2 linked regions of the Stegostoma tigrinum genome follow. The protein of the gene in region 1 interacts with the protein of each later gene in a biochemical or structural test. Links are inferred from orthologs where the notes say so. Each region holds a gene or a part of one and is shown on either strand. Other genes may lie near its edges. The genes, in order: myb and nlk2.

Region 1 (8,406 bases):
TCAGTGAAAATATTCACCTGTATAGGCACAAGAAATTTCCATTAAGCACAATATACCATCATACTGAATAACTTGACCATACATACATCTAGAACACAAATGGTTTAATTGCAGGTGACTTGAGATTTTTGTCCACTTTGAAATGTCAGTCCAAATAAAGATTTGTTACAAATTCTTTCTGCAGTAGACATTTGTAAGACATTCAAAAGTTAATTTATTATAGTAAAACTCTGCTTGTGTTCCCCCCACCCCGGCCAAATGGTTTATCTCATGCTCAACTGAAGCATACAAACCAAGCATGTTACCATTCTACTATTTAGCATGTGTTAACTGGCCTTGGCTGATGCAGCAAAAGGATCAAAGTTGAGCCATGGCTTTTTACATGATAACTGGACAAAGATCTCACTCTTGACTGCAAATAATTACTGTAGATGTGTGTATGGGTATCAGATGAGGACACAATTGGGCTTAAAGATGATACTCTATTATTAAATAGTCTGTCAAGTACACTGTAAAGGTTTGTATGAAAAATGGACTTGAGCAACTCTTCCTAATCCCTATCCCAGAAATGGATTAACAACACAAGGAAAAGGAAGTAGACAAACCTAATCTCAGAATTATTCTTGTATTCGTATTGTTAATGAGTCTGATCAGTGGTAACACCCCAAACATCTTAAGCGACTGCTGCAAACTTGCATCCAATGATAGTCTAAATTCTAATTGCAGGACTCAATACTGCCATGAGTGGAAAGCAAAAATTAATAGTCTAGGACATTCTTTCAAAAAGGGATGCAAACTAAAGGAAGCAGTCACTGCTCATTTGTGCACCCAGTGGGCAGATTCAGACCAAAACTGGATGGGAGGTGGATTGGTATAATGCATGCCATGGGAAAACTAAAGAAGAGGCGGCATTAGCTCAGGTGTCCGCTTTGAACAAAAAAATTAAACAAAAGTTTTAAATGCATTATTTTGCTTCAAAACTTAGAGGTTATTGTGTATTAGAACAGTTAAGAAATTTTATGTATCAATCAACCAAACAGGTTGAATTATTATTTACAGACAAAACAATATTTTAGTCAGTTATTCAATTCACTTTAAAAACAAGCGGAGCACATATTTTTCGTAAACTCCATTTCCCATTGTCTCAACTGTTAGTTGGATTTACTTCACTACGCCCATTCGAAATTCAGTCTGCAGGAGGCATTATTCTAGCAGGTGCATAATTCAAACCTGTTTTTTTCCCCCTCTCTTTACACAACACCCCATCTAGTGGTTTTAGCAAGAACTGACAAATTTCCCCAATAAACAGTCGGTGGGATATCATGTCTCAAATATCAATTCATTGATTCTTGTTTGGTATCACCTAAATTTTAACACCAAGAATCTCAGGCCCTGCCATAATTTTCCCTAATCCCTGACAGAGCAGGTCTTTATCGCAATTTAAGTACACAACCTAATATAACTTATTGCTTGCAAAAGTACTTTCTTTACTCTTTCTAGAAATGTATTTGAACAATTTAAACTCAACACAGATGTGCAGCAAATAAAAACAACTTTGACAGAGACTGAAATATTTGCCGCTCCTAATCCAAATTAAAGGAAGGAATTTCTCTTCCTGTTGGCTGTCAGGATAGTTTTAACCCAAACTTAGCAGAAATACATTCACAGCGCAAAACGTTTTTTTTTGAAAATTTAGCAAATATTGGCATTTCACCCCAGGCGAACAAAGGAATTTACATTGTTGTAGTTGAGATGCTCTTATGAAGTCCTATTTTCCTGATCAAGTGCTTGAGGTTACATCATTCATTTGGTCTACAAGCAGACAGTAAACGATCTTCAAAAACTGAAGTGTCATTCGCCTACTAAATTACGTATTTAAAACTCAACACACTAATGGGGAAATCAGCTATAAATTGATGGTTTTATTCAACCATTCCTACTGGGAATCATTACCGAAAAAATACCAAACTAATCCGTTGTGAAAACCGAATAAAGAGACAAACTTTTTAAACGTCGAATGCATATCGCCGAGTTCATAGTATCGCGATCATGACGGCCCAACATTCAGCAGTGAGATTTTATATAGTTTTGTTAGTGACCCATAAATGCGAGCAAACTATTCACCGGCAGGTCATGAGTTAAAGTGTAATAACTTGAGCCCTTGTCTCTCACTCGTCAAATTCATAATCACTCTTGCACATGGACGAAACAAAAATTCCACTAGTTATAATAAATTAAAAAATAAAGTTCCAGTAATGCCATAACTCCGTGGATTGGTTGGTAGTCCTGAAATTTTGAAATGAGCCGAGTAGTTTCTATTAATAAAGTGAATCGGCCAGTATGGAATTTCCACACGTTCATCGTGCAAAAGGACTTGCATGGTTTCTGGTAGTGCATACTCGGGGTAAGTGTCATTGTTCCCCATTTCATTCACATTTTACCGACGATAATGATTCTGATGCAGTCAGTTTCCTCAGACCACAAACATTAGTCACGCATGAATAGCCAAAAAGGAGAAAACGCTCCAAGCAATTTCTGCCACTGTTACTACGTACAATAATTTTGACAACTTGGATCACAGCCTTCGCCAAATTCAGTTTATCATGACACAACCAGAAACCACCTTATTATGTCGAAAAATTAGGATCACGATCTCGTGTCCGGTAGTTTCAGACAGCTTGCAATAATTTTAAAATCCACGTGTCACTCCGCCAGCTCTTGCACTAACAATAAAATTATGATGTAGTTCATTGACTTGTCTTGGATGCACTTATTTTCTTTTCATGCATGAAAGCATTCCGCTACGTCAATAACATACTTAACTAGAACATGCCTCACTCGTGCGGGGTTCAGTGGATGTTGCAACTGAGAAACTACAATGCTAACATATAAACACGTACAGTCAACTATTTCCTATATGAACAACGTGGTGCAAGATGAGAAATATTATTATTGCTGCTGCAATATTTTACGGCGACACATTGAAACATACCGTTTAAAAGGTGCATCTTCAACCTGTGTATCAATTTTGCAAGATTGTATTGTTCTTCTCGATTTAACAGTAAACAAGTGTTGTTGTCATTTGTCACTTAGAACTTGCGCGCATGAATGGAAGTTCTGCACCTTTTAAATTTGCTTATCCTACAACGTGTCCACATAACTTGAAATACTAAACAGACAAGCTATATATAATTTCCATTTTAACAAGTTTTTCAATTACAGTTGGAAAGCTTGCTGCAGAAAGTCAGCATACTGTTCAAAGATTCGAACCATTCACAATTTAGCTGCATTAAGTATTGGAACTGAACACAGCGTCTCACTCTGCTTAACAAGTCATCTCTCAGCGTGCAAACCTCATAAAATTAAAGTGAAAGTTCTTCCTCTTCCTGCAATAATCTATGTTTTGTTCATTAGGCAGCAACCAAAACGTATAATACAGTTACCTATTCCGTGGCCGCCGAGCCATGAGCCTCTCAGAGTGCGGAAGAAGTGTCGCTGCAAGTGATCAGCCAAACTCACACGAGGAGGAAGCAAATTGAGATTAAAGTGTACGATCTGTAAACACAGATTCCTACAAACAAAGCCCTGGACCCTCCCCTCCCGCCAAATCTCCCGCCCAAACCAAAGACAGGGCAATACGCAGGCGCACTGCTGACCTTGGCGGTCCTCCGTGAAACCCGCCTTTTTCCTGCAATCCCCGCTTAGTCCGGTACTACCCCGCCTCCATCTCTTCCAACCAGGAGTTTTGCAAAGTAAACAACTAGAGATAATGTGCTTTTGTTCTTCATCTGTCAGCTCTCTGGGAGAATCCAGTCCCGGGGTTCCCTGTTGCTAAACTACACAATTACCATATTGCTTCTAAAACAATCAGTTTCTCCCGCAGAAAGTCACACGCAAGGTGGTTGCAACCAAGTAAATTTGTTCAACATTTAGATGATTAGTGAAATGCTGCTGGAGTGACAAATTGGGAAAACGAGGGGCAGGTTATATCCTAGTTACCGTTTCTTAGAAGTCAATAGAAAACTTGACTGGAAAAACATCATTTTAAGAACACATACCTACAGAAAGGCAAGTTACTTTTTTCACGCGACTAGATGACTTTTTTTGAACTGAACAAAAAGTTTGAGAGCTTTTTCCATAGATGGCGCAACCTGCAGTTTTGCAATGAAACCTAAATATGGAGAAATGAGGGTCCTTTGTTCGTAAACGTATCAGTATTAAAACAAAACAGCAAAGCAAATGTGCCCGTTCCTCTTTGAATATTCCAAAATTTATGACAAGGTGACTATTTTCGTGCGGTAGATATAAAGTGTATTCAAACTCATAGATTAAAAGTTGTCAACCGAAGCATATTCTAGATTATGTTTCGCTAATCATTACAATTTAAATATCATTTACGTTGAAACAATAAAATTTTTTGGATGTATCGCCAACAGATGTTTAAGTTTAGCAAAAGTAATTTGGAATTTTGGATCACTGTAATATACTTCCTCTTTCCTGCACACTCCTGACACGTGTGTAATACAACGGGACAATAAACCTATAAGGCAGTTGGTGCTGCTTCAGCACAAGGTTTTAGATTCACGTTTATAGACCGACTGCAGAGTGCTCACGAACTTCAGATCAAAGGAAATGCCAAATGAAAACAACAATGCCCTTAAATAAATACAATTCCCAAGTGTTTTCTCCCTATACTTATCTGCATGATTAACGTTCTATTGCTTAATGTTTAAGTAAACAAAATATAGCGAGGTCTGTAATTTGCTTCGTGTTTATAGCCAAATTCATTTGGATTCGCATTAGTTTTAATTATCAGGAATTGTACATTTTTGATTAATTTAGATCCATTCAAGCAAATTATTTCTGCCAAAATTCACACAAGATCCCTTTTTCACCCCTATGATTATGGCAAATATCTTTTCGAGTTCGCATTTTTGTTACTTCCAATGCAGATGCCTCAGCGCTGCCAAACCTGGTCAATTGGAATATCTTCCGCAATCGTTTCCTATTTCCAATTTTATAGCAACCGGTTGCACTCGCTTGTTTTTGCAAAGTGCCTAAACTTGCTACATGTTTTAGTTATTAGCAACAATTGTATCAGAATGAAACAAAAATCCTCACACCAGGTTTTTGCTTGGAAGATCCCCGGAATTTCAACCACCGTTTGCATTTTTAATAATTTGATGGGCACTATGCTCGCCACCACCCTCCCTATGTTGTTTGTTCGTGCTAATTTTTAAACTTGTATTTCATGCCATCAGTTTGTCATCTTTCTTCCTCTTTTTTGTAGATTAGTTTCCTCATTTCCGTTACCACTGCTTTCCCCTTGTGCTTTTCATTACTCTTTTATGCCAAAATACCCCACTACTCTTTTTGATTATTGGTGATATTTACCCTCGACTTTTTTTTTCTTCAGCTTTCGGCATCTTACCTTTACCTGAATAAACAAACAATCTGGTTATTCTGCATTTTCGTCAGTTGATGCACCTTTCTTGTAACCCACCCCCTTAGGTTTCCCGAGCTATGTCTTTTAGGCAAAAGGACTCTTGAAAAAAAAAATTATATCCAAATTTTATAATTTTTAAAATAAATTAGATGTACAGACAATGTAACCACTGTGACCAGTTGCAGTGTCACATTGTTTTTGACTTTTTTTTTCCAGAATGGATTGCAATAACAGGACTTGGTATCAAAAAATGGTGGTGACACACTCGACAAGCAATACTGCAAGAGCGAAGGTCACTAAAATGTTGGAGTTCCTTGTCAAAAATAGCGATGGGTCTAATGGGCAAGTTGGTGTGTATCATCGGCCAAAGTACTGCTGCATCTCTCATTTCCTTGCAGGTCCTGGTAAAAGAAACAAGTGGCGAAGCTGAAGTTAACTCTTGCTCATTTCCCTCTCTCTTGGACAGATGGTGGTGCCTGGCCTGCTGAGTGGTTTCCAACATTTAATTATTGAAAAGGCAATAATTCCTGTTTTGTTTTCGGTTTGAGTGCAGGTGAGTGTCTGCACCTGGCCCATGTTGAGGAGCTGCAGGTAAGTAAAGATCCGCACGGACACTGGGATGCCAACAATTTCCTCATCACACCCACCAGGGGATATCAGAAAAAATAACACAACAACAAACCTCAACCGCTTAATCTGACCGGAATCAATCTCAACATTTTTAGAAAACTTCAAAATCCACCGCCCACCTGACTGCCTCTTGCATTCCCCCCCCCCCCCACCCCAGGTGACTGAAGGCTTCGAAGGTGACACTTTGCCCCAGCACCTGTCACACCCACATCGCGCCCCCCCCCCTTTCCCAGAGATACCGCGGAGTCGCCGGGAAGGGGTGAGGGGAGGAGAAAGAGCATTTGTTTTTAAAACAGCCCCTAACAGCTCCCGTCCCACCTGCCCGTTCGCGATGAACCGGGAAAGGGCGGAACGCCGCCCCTCGCCCTCACCCTGCTCCGTGGCCACGTGATGCCGCTAACGGTCGCGCTCCTGTCGATTTCACACGTACCCGAAGGAGGTGTCCATTGGGCTGGCCGCAGGCAATCCGCTCACCCGCAGTTGGATGGATGGGGTGCTGCTGGGCGAGCAGGGAGGAGAGTTGTCGTTCCTCTGAAAGAGGCTGGTTGGTGGTAGTGTTCGGGTGGGGGGGGGGGTTGGGGATGGAAGAGTTGGTATGAGAATTTATATCAAATAACAAGGAAAAATAATAAAAAGAACACTGTCGTCTCTCTCTGCGCCCTCAAGAATTGGCTGGTTATTATGTTTTGTTGTTCTGACTCTACATACACACAAACCATACACACACACTGGTCCTATTCACAAAATCTTCTCCACGTCTGGAATCCTCTCGATTCAAATTGCGGCGGGTTCTTCCCCGGGAACGCCCTCGCGCCCGCCCACGGCACGTGCCGCTGCTGCGCCCGCCAGCACAGGCTGGGGTGGGGGAGTTAACTGGTGAGAGGGAAACCTGTGCGTGGGAGGCCGTGTCAACAGTTGGCTGGATCTCGGATGCATGCATTGGAGTGCGGACAGCGTGCATGGCCGATGACTGCGGATGACCGTCGCCTTGGCTGTGGTGGCGCGCCCGGGTCCGCTCACCTGTACGGTGCGCCGCGGCTCGCCGGACCACGTGCGCCTCCAGGCTGGCGCCTTTTGCTCGCTTCGACCGTGGTGCCTGTTTTTGCTTTCCATTCAGCCACGCTAAACGTGAGTCCAGACCCTTGACCTGGAAAGCATCTCTCGACTTTCGGCCGTCAGAGGGAAAATAAATAATAAGTTGGATAAAGGATGGTCTGGCAGTTTAGAAATATGGAACATCACCGGTGCTGCCAACTTTGCCATTTTTGTTAAGAGTTTGCTTTGATAAGGAAAGCAGCTGTTGTCCTTGCTGGAAAATTCTCTTCCCCACCCTGTTATATTACAAAAATTAGGAGACCTGCTTTCAAATGTGAACTGCTACTGCTGTTCTTGATGTTTCCTTTATCGTGAAAAATATATGAAGAACTTATCACAATTGTAGTTAGCACCTTTACATACCAATAATATAGATATTTTCCTGGTAGAGCTTTATATAATTTGTTTTCTATACGATACAAAGGTTATTGTTGAAAAATTTTCAGCTAAAAAGATGCACTTTTTTATTCTCGGAGAATTACATTTTATCTTTCCAAGTTCTTTCTTCAAAATAAAACTAGTAGCTGATCAATAAATCTTGCACAAAACATAAATACCATCATGAACTGGTTGTGCCAACTAGTCAGTTTGTGTGTCGTGTTTCTGTGTAATGTTTAAGTGTAATAGCTAAGTGAACACAAGATTGAAACATAAGGAAGGCCACTTAACCCTTAGCTTACCAACTAGTAGATTCTCGTCACAACATTTAAATTTTTTTTCTTCATCATAGTGTTCAACCTGCCCTTTTGTCCAAGTAGGTTAGCAATTATACCTGCTGAATTGATAAGGGTATAAATTTTGATTGACAAAGTTTATTTGACATGTTCATACAGTTTTCATTAGTGGCCTTTATAAACTAGTGTTTTCCTGTTTAAAATGAAGGCTTTTACACCTAATTTAAAATAGTATACACAGGAATAAAATAGTGGCAAATTTGATGTTCATATCTGATTTGTCAAATATGATAAATTGAACAGGATAAATCCTGAGAGTCTGTTTCCCCTCATAAGAGAGTCTACGATCAGAGGACATTGTCTCAGCATTAAGGGGTGCCAATGTAATACTGAGGTAAGAAGAAATTTCTTTAGAATTCCTTGCCTCAAAGAGCTGTGGAAACAGAGTCCTTGTGTATGTTTAAGTCTGAGATAGGCTTGACCAGTCAGGGAATCAAGTGATACAGGGAAAGGGCAGGAAGGTAGAAGTGAGGAATGTCAATTAGCCATAACCCAACTGAA
Region 2 (7,677 bases), on another chromosome or scaffold:
CAAAGATACATTCAAGCATTTTCCCCACTACAGAAGTTAAGCTAACAGACCTATAGTTACCCACCTTTTGTCTACCTCCTTTCTTATATAGTGGTCTCACATTTGCTGTTTTCCAATCTGGATGGTACACTATAGATACAAAAACATGATAAAGGGAACAGGAAAACGATTTGACAACACTTCCTGAGTAGGTGGATCAAGAATCACAATATTGAGTCTTAAATTAGGATATAACCTGTGAAACAAATGAGATTTATTCGTGGAAAATGATAATATCCTTATCATCCAATGTAAGATATCATGGAATGGTAGCATTCTAGCAGAGAGTATTGATTCCTACTTGATAATAATGTTGAGGTTTGTAATACTTTCTGTGGCTACCCAGAGAGACAATTTTTTTGATACTGCATGCTACACCTTGGTTGCCAAATTGAATGACATGCTTCATTTAATTTATTTCATAGAGATGTGAATGTAGGATATCAGTTTGTCACTCTGAACTGAGAGTAAATCTGAATGAATATGAGTAAAGAAGATAAAACAGTGTGAATACTACCTGGAGCTGTAATCAATGTTCTGTAAAAAAAAGTTTGAAAACTAATGCCATTTTCAAATAGTAACATTGCTTAAACTCTTTCAGGAATTTGGGTAGAGGATTAATTTGATGTGAAACTACTCTGTTGTGTTGAACAGCAGAGATGGTTCTTCCCCAATGCAACTAGAAGGTACCAACAATAATTCTTCCAATTTACCACCAGTCTGTTAAGAACTGACCAACTTAATTCAGCCTAGATTTATTTTTCTAAAAGAATTTCCTGTAAATGCCATATATTGTAAAATTACTGCTGACAATTGTATCTCAATTTTTTTGGAAGAATTATTTATTTAACAAATCTGTGCTGAATTAGGAAGTTAACATATCTGTCTAATAATTGTATGGCTATCTGCAGAAAAAAACAGGTAGCTCACTTAATTTTTAACATTACTGTTTGTGTTTTGTTGTTCCAAATTAATAGCTTAAGCATCACCATGGATTTGCAGTCAGTTGAGCATCAATAGCTATACCTATTCACCAGCTTGATTTTCTTTTATAAAGAATCGCATGCCTAAGTAATGCTTATTTTTGTGTCAACTCATTGACTTCGGAAATAACAGATTTTTTTGTGAATTTAATATGTAGTCTGTCTCATTATTACGTTGATCATTTTCAAAAGCCAAGTTTCTATCCTTAAATTATAGGTGCCATATCTTACAAACCGGTTTTGTTTCTTCAATAAATTGACAAATATTTTTTATGAAAACCTATTTTTCCTTCCCTTGCTTCAAAAATTAACACCATGACAGGTCATTATCTCCTCTCTAAACAGGAAAAAAATGACAGTGATCTGGAGGATCCCTTCAGTGGCTTTTCCCCCATTGAAATCTAAAAGCCTACCCTCACCCTCTGAGCAAATCACTTAGTATAATCAGATCCACACATTGCTCTCTGCAATTAGGAAGTACATTACACTAAGTGCCACCTTTCAAACTTCTCACATTTAGCAGATGCTTCTTGCAAATGTTTTGTTGCCAAATGATCTTGTGGTGTATGTTCAGTTCTTAATCGCAGAGCTACCCCCAGTGTTTGGAATAAAGATGCAAATTGTTTCCTTTTGTAAAAGCAGTTGTGCAGGCAGATATTATATTAGATTTTACCAAATGCCTGACACCACTATATAAATTTATTTCAAACTTTAGATTTTGTATTAAGTCAACAACTATTTTGTCTTTGAAAGGGAGCATCCTAAAGTGTGCACACATTTAAACAAACAAATATATTTTATTAGAAGTCTTCAAAATTCAGCAGTAGGATGGTGGTACACAATCTGTATCATTCAGGTCTGAACAGTTGGGCTCAAATAACTTTGGATGGCTGGGTGCTTCATCAATAATTGCCAAAGCTAATATTCACTGATGACCTCTTCTGGCCACCTATCCTAGCTTTGCAACTTAATATTCTAATGGTGTATGTATCTTCAGGATGAAACAATTGGATTGAATAGAATGAAACATAAATGCATAACAGAATGATTAGTGATTAAAAAAGCATAACTGGTATTCAAGTACAACTTACCTCACACTTCCCAGGTTAATAAAGAAAATTTATAATATAAGAACTTTACTAACTGACATAATTTAGGGAACCAGTTATCACCGTCGTGAGGAGCTGTCACACAAAGAAAAATAATTTATATTTGTAAGTAGTTTTTACATCATTTTCACAAACTCCCATTTTAGAATTGATGTATCAATCAAAGCACAATGATTGTTATGATGGTAAATTGGTTCCATATGTCACAGGATGGTGGAGGGTGGGGGGGGCGCGGGTGGGGGGTGGTGGAAACAGCCAAATTCCATTTACTTTTGTTTCCCTTATTAAAGGGACACTGCTTTCACAATGCAGTGTTTAGCAAACCAGTACACCCATTTTTATCATGATAGTGTTGTGTCCAAGTGACAATTTGCACTTTCCTGAAGAGATAGAAAAAGTTTTGTCAAACGCTTTTTAGTTGGATATGTTGTCATTATGAGATGACAGTTAGTAACTCTACGACACTGATCATCCTTCTTATTTATTATGAATGTAAGGTATCATTCATCAAAGAATTATATTTCTTTGTGTACTCAGATCACAATGTAACCCATTTTCTATTGCTGCAAGATCTTACTGAAAGGAAAATTGCTTTTGCAATAATGTATTGACAACAGACATGCTTCTTTGGAAATTTTCATCTTGAAAGTGTAGTATTCAAAATTTTGTCTGTACTGAGTATAATGTCTGATACAAGTGGGACCTTATTCCGGCCTTCAGTTTCAAAAGGTAATTTTTCATTGATGTAACAATAAGTGGAAAAAAAAACTGAATTTTAACCATTTCTTTCCAACTAAATTATCACGAGAGATTTTAAACTGTGTCTGTGGATTATACAATTGAGATTACTACACAGTTGAGAAATAAATAGGGTAAAGTTCTTAATTTTGCATTTTGCCACAATTATAAATGTGGTGGTAATACAATTAGCAATCTAACAAATTCAAAAGCACACATTAACTTACAAAAGCAAGTCTCTCCTATGATGCTGATGTGGCTGTCATTTTGCATGAAGACATGCTGAACATTACAAATACATGTTTCTGCCCATCTGTATCCTGACCCACTTTTCCCAGGCCATACATGGTACAGTAACATATGCAAGTGGGCAGCTGACCTGGAAACTGAGCTAAGTAGAACTGTGTCGATTAGGTAACCAATGTCTCTCTTCAATAGTTATTAAAAATCAGTCTCAAGTAACTAAGCATTAAAACACAGATTTTGCTTAATTCAAAATATAACTTTTGGCATTATTACAAGTGAGAGGTTAGAAATGGCTCAAGTTATCACAGTTTTCAATATTACCATATTCGACCTTCATGGTAAACTAAAGAGAACTGGAGATAATCTATCTGCACAGGACTTATTACATTATTTCATGCATTATACAGAAAGGGTGCTTAACAGGTGAACTTTTAAAAACACAGTTAAAAGTTTATTTTTGAATTCCATTGTGAGGGGTAGGTAGCATATTCTCTTGAACGGTTTAAAGCCCCAGGATAAGATACACTAGCGCTCTGTGTGATTCTCTCAATTAACCAGTTGGGGTCCCATCAATACAAGAGTTGACCTCTTTCTGGCATCGCTGCGCTTTGTGGGAGAAGATGTAGATCACGTGTCCTTTGTGTTCGCTCAACGAAACTTGCTTGCAGTACGGGGCGACCCGCCCTTGCAGCACGCTCGGCACCTGGACGCAGCAGTTCCGTGGTGCAAGCGTGCATTTCCATTCGACAGAGATGGTGTCAATCAAGCAGCGGTCGGGGATGGTCTGTGGAGCAGGCGGGCTAAGCTCCAGACGATCATGTTGGGATGCGCGCGGCTGGGCTTCCGAGCGAGAGGGGAGGGAGTATTCAGTGCGGGGGGGGGGTGGGACTCCTCGGCTTTCGAGGGTTTCGTGTTTAGTTGCTCTCTTCTTGGTGTCTTTGGGGGGGGGGGGGTGGGGGGACAAATTTTATTTTTTTATATATTTAAAGAAAAGCCAAAAATAAGCTTTACAATGCTTCCGATGATGTTTGCCGAGGAAAACTGAAGGAGTTTCCCCTCAGAAAAAATGTGTGCGAAGTGAAAGCCAAAGTCTTTTTGAAGAATTTTTTTTTCCTCTCTCTCCGAGGAGTTGAAAATCCGGATTATTGAATTTCCTGAGGAAAGCCGGGTGTGGAATTTGCTGGAAGATGGTTTAGCAAGGACGGAGCGAGGAGAGTGCGGCCGAGGCGGAGCTCGAGCGGCGAGGCGGCGGCGGCCGGTGGAGCGCGGGCTGGGCGCGCGGTACGGCCGTTGGTCATGGCGCTGTGCGGCACCACGGCGGCGGCGGCGAGCCAGCAGCAGCGCCAAAGCGTCGCCAAGCTGATGGCTTATAACGGCGCCGGGGCCGCCCATCATCATCACCACCACCACCATCACCACCACCACCATCACAACAACCATCATCACCACAACAACAGCGGCAGCAGCAGCAGCAACAGCCATCACCAACATCCACCGCCGCCGCCGCCGCCACCACATCATCACCACCATCAAATACACACCGGGGCTACTGCCACCGCCGCTGCCGCTGCGACTGGCGGCGGCGGTGGTGGTGGTGTCGCTGCTGCCGGAGGAGGTGGCGGTATCGGCACGGCGGTACACCCGGTCCAGCATCACCATCACCCGGCCGCCGCCGCCGCTGCTGCCGCTGCCGCCGCCGTCGCCGCTAGCTCGGCCGCCGTCTCGTCGTCCTCATCCTCTTCATCGTCGTCGTCTGCCGCCGCCTCAGCCGCCGCCACGGCGGCAGCAGCGGCGGCGGCGGCGGCGATGCTGAACACAGGCCAGGCGCCGTATTTCCCGTCCCCAGCGCCGGCCGCCGCCGCCGCCTCGGTGCAGATTCACGCCGCCGCCGCGGCCGCTGCCAAGGCACATCAGCTGGATATCGAGCCCGACAGACCCATCGGATATGGAGCCTTCGGAGTAGTCTGGTAGGTTTCCTGAGCAAGACTTGTTGGCCAAGCGTTTTAACAGGTTGAAAATAATATTTTCAAATAATAAGTTTTTCAGCAAAGTCGCAATTTTTTGCCAATTACTTTTACTTCAGATAAACAGCTTATCAACTTTGTGGAGTTTGGGTGTTTCCTCAAATGCGCTGACAATGTTGAACTTGTAGGGAGTTTCAAAATGTTTTGCTTCCCCAAATGTCTGTGGGTTAGGTGAGCTCGGTTCTCATAGGGCGTACTGCACCGTCAATAATCTAAATGTTTTATGAAGTGACATTGCTTGGCGGGTGGCGGAAATTAGTCTTCATTATTTGGTTGTGTTTTCGTGCTGCACGAAAGATGCTTTTGTCACTAAGATGCTTTTTTTAAAAGCTTCCTGCAAGACACGAATCAGAGAGGCAGCTTGGTCAGATTTCCGTTTCATCCTTGAGTTATTATAAGATCTCTTGACGCCCAACTGATAGGAGACTACTTATTCTTTACATTTAAAAAACCTGAAAAGAAAGATAGCTGTATGACGCCCCCCCTCCCCAACAACATTTAGTAGTTATCTGTGTAAATCTTGTTCCTTTTGCGATGGTAAATTGCCGAAAACAAATTATATTTTCCACTTATTTGGAAAAAATGCTGAAGAAGAATAGTGTTAAAAATTGACTTGGAATTTTTTAAAGGTCTTTCTTCACGTTAGGTGGTAATTTAGTTGTCGCCAAAGTGGTTGGTTTGACGCACTGCACTTTTTAGGCAAAGATACGTATAATTTGCTATTCTATAACTGATAATGATGTTTTTAGTTTGAAGGAACAAATCCATTACTGTGTATGTGTAATCATTCCTCCATTCCCTTCAGGAGTAAGGGTGAAATTACTGTTCAGTTATTTTTTTCTTTTTTAAAAAACTTGCTGTCCTAATTAATATCCTTCAAGTTTTTGAGTTTACAGAATTTCAAAAAGTCAATGCAGTTCCATGATGCTGGGAATTATTTTTGTAATGGCAGCAATAGTTCATACAGAACGCTATTCCTTACGCATGCTAACCAGCTAGTACTCGTGCAGATTGGGTTAATAGTTTGTAGAAGTGTTGAAATGCAGTAATTCAACCGATGGCATAAATTGCCAGCTGGTGTATTTTTATGATTGTCACTAAACCCTGTACCTGGAGAGATTATTTTAAATTCCTGTTCTTATTCATATCTGTTAATTATTTTTTCCCTAAAACATTAAATACAGCAGTGTGATCACGTTATGAATCATTTTGCTGACCTTTTTGTTCATTTGAGGAAATTTACTTTATACTTAGATGATATGGTTTGGCTTTGCTAGAAAGCCAAAATTTTGTATTCAAGGAATTTTAACTCAAAATGGTTAAATCCCAGCCCTAATTTAAAATGCCTTGAACTACAATGAAATGTTAAATTTTTTTGGATGGATTGTATTTGACTTCATAAGTTTCTTTTTACGGTGGCAAATATAACTTACTAGGTTAATAGAATAACTAGATGTCAATGACTTTGAGTTCTTTTTTAAAGTGCAAACAAATTGAAAAGATGGAAAATGAAGCTTGATGGTCAGTGGCCAACTCCCGTTTGTTCTTGTGAATAATTTAGATAAACATTCTGTTTTGTTCATGCAAATCTGGAAAATGCAGTAAAAACAAAAGGTGATGGGATCTGGGGAAAATTGCTTGTGAAATGATAACATGTAAGGAAGTTTGAGAGGATATCTAATGATGTTGCACTAAGTGCAGTTGTAGTTTTATATGGTTGATTGCTGAATGTGAAATTTTGTACTGCAAGGCAGTGAAATTTCACCCTACCCAAGTGTTAATTTTTACTACATTAGTCTTCTAAGATTACAAAAAATGTTTGTTTGATATTTTAGACAATTTTCAACATGTCGTCTTTTGGCTTAATACTGCCCATCAATTGGAATAAAGTTCTTCCAACACATTAACATTTGTAGTTCTTGATCCATCAGCCTTAAAGTAAATCGCAACCTTCTGCATTCAATTTTGCATTGCTTGCTGCATAAATATATTTTAAATCATATTTTTGGGCTATCCTGATGTCTGATAGCTAAGCATTGCAACAAGTAATGCAGTGTAAGCAGGAAGACTTAATTTCTGGCTTGTCTTGTTGCAGCTGAGACAAATTGTAGTTGGTTTTAGTGCTTGAGGGGAAATATCAGTGTTTACTCAATTAATCTTGCCAGACACTACTTGCATTAACTTTGACTAAAGAGAAAAAGGACAGGTTGTTTTGACCCATCTTTAAAATTGTATTTTTGTTCACTTATTTCACTGAAGATTTGAGTATCAGTGGATTCTTGAGAGTGGTGTCCCAGCCTAAGTTGGTTATTTAGCAAGACTACAGAAATCATAACAATTACACAGCACACAAATGGACTATTCAATCTTTTTCCACAAAGTCCAGAATTTAGTGCTGTCCTGCTGCATATTCTCCTATTTTTTCTGATTTCAAGCAGCGATCTACCTGCTCTGCCATAACTATTTGTGGCAGAGAATTCCATCTTCTGACCACCCCCTAAAGGACATTTTCTTATCTCAATTTTTTGTGCTTGTTAA

Evidence for each region.
Region 2: of the proteins of myb (region 1) and nlk2, one has a biochemical effect on the other in vitro, tested with the Homo sapiens proteins (2 studies listed by BioGRID, with this or other methods). The link is inferred for Stegostoma tigrinum from reciprocal best matches to the Homo sapiens genes MYB and NLK.

Annotation. Positions count from the first base shown.
Region 1 is NC_081357.1:43,587,316-43,595,721, reverse strand, and holds the start of myb (transcriptional activator Myb), read right to left. Parts: upstream 3,559-8,406; 5' UTR 3,467-3,558; coding exon 3,444-3,466; intron 1-3,443. UniProt on the Homo sapiens protein: Transcriptional activator; DNA-binding protein that specifically recognize the sequence 5'-YAAC[GT]G-3'. Plays an important role in the control of proliferation and differentiation of hematopoietic progenitor cells.
Region 2 is NC_081380.1:37,046,382-37,054,058, reverse strand, and holds the start of nlk2 (serine/threonine-protein kinase NLK), read left to right. Parts: upstream 1-4,078; 5' UTR 4,079-4,411; coding exon 4,412-5,082; intron 5,083-7,677. UniProt on the Homo sapiens protein: Serine/threonine-protein kinase that regulates a number of transcription factors with key roles in cell fate determination. Positive effector of the non-canonical Wnt signaling pathway, acting downstream of WNT5A, MAP3K7/TAK1 and HIPK2.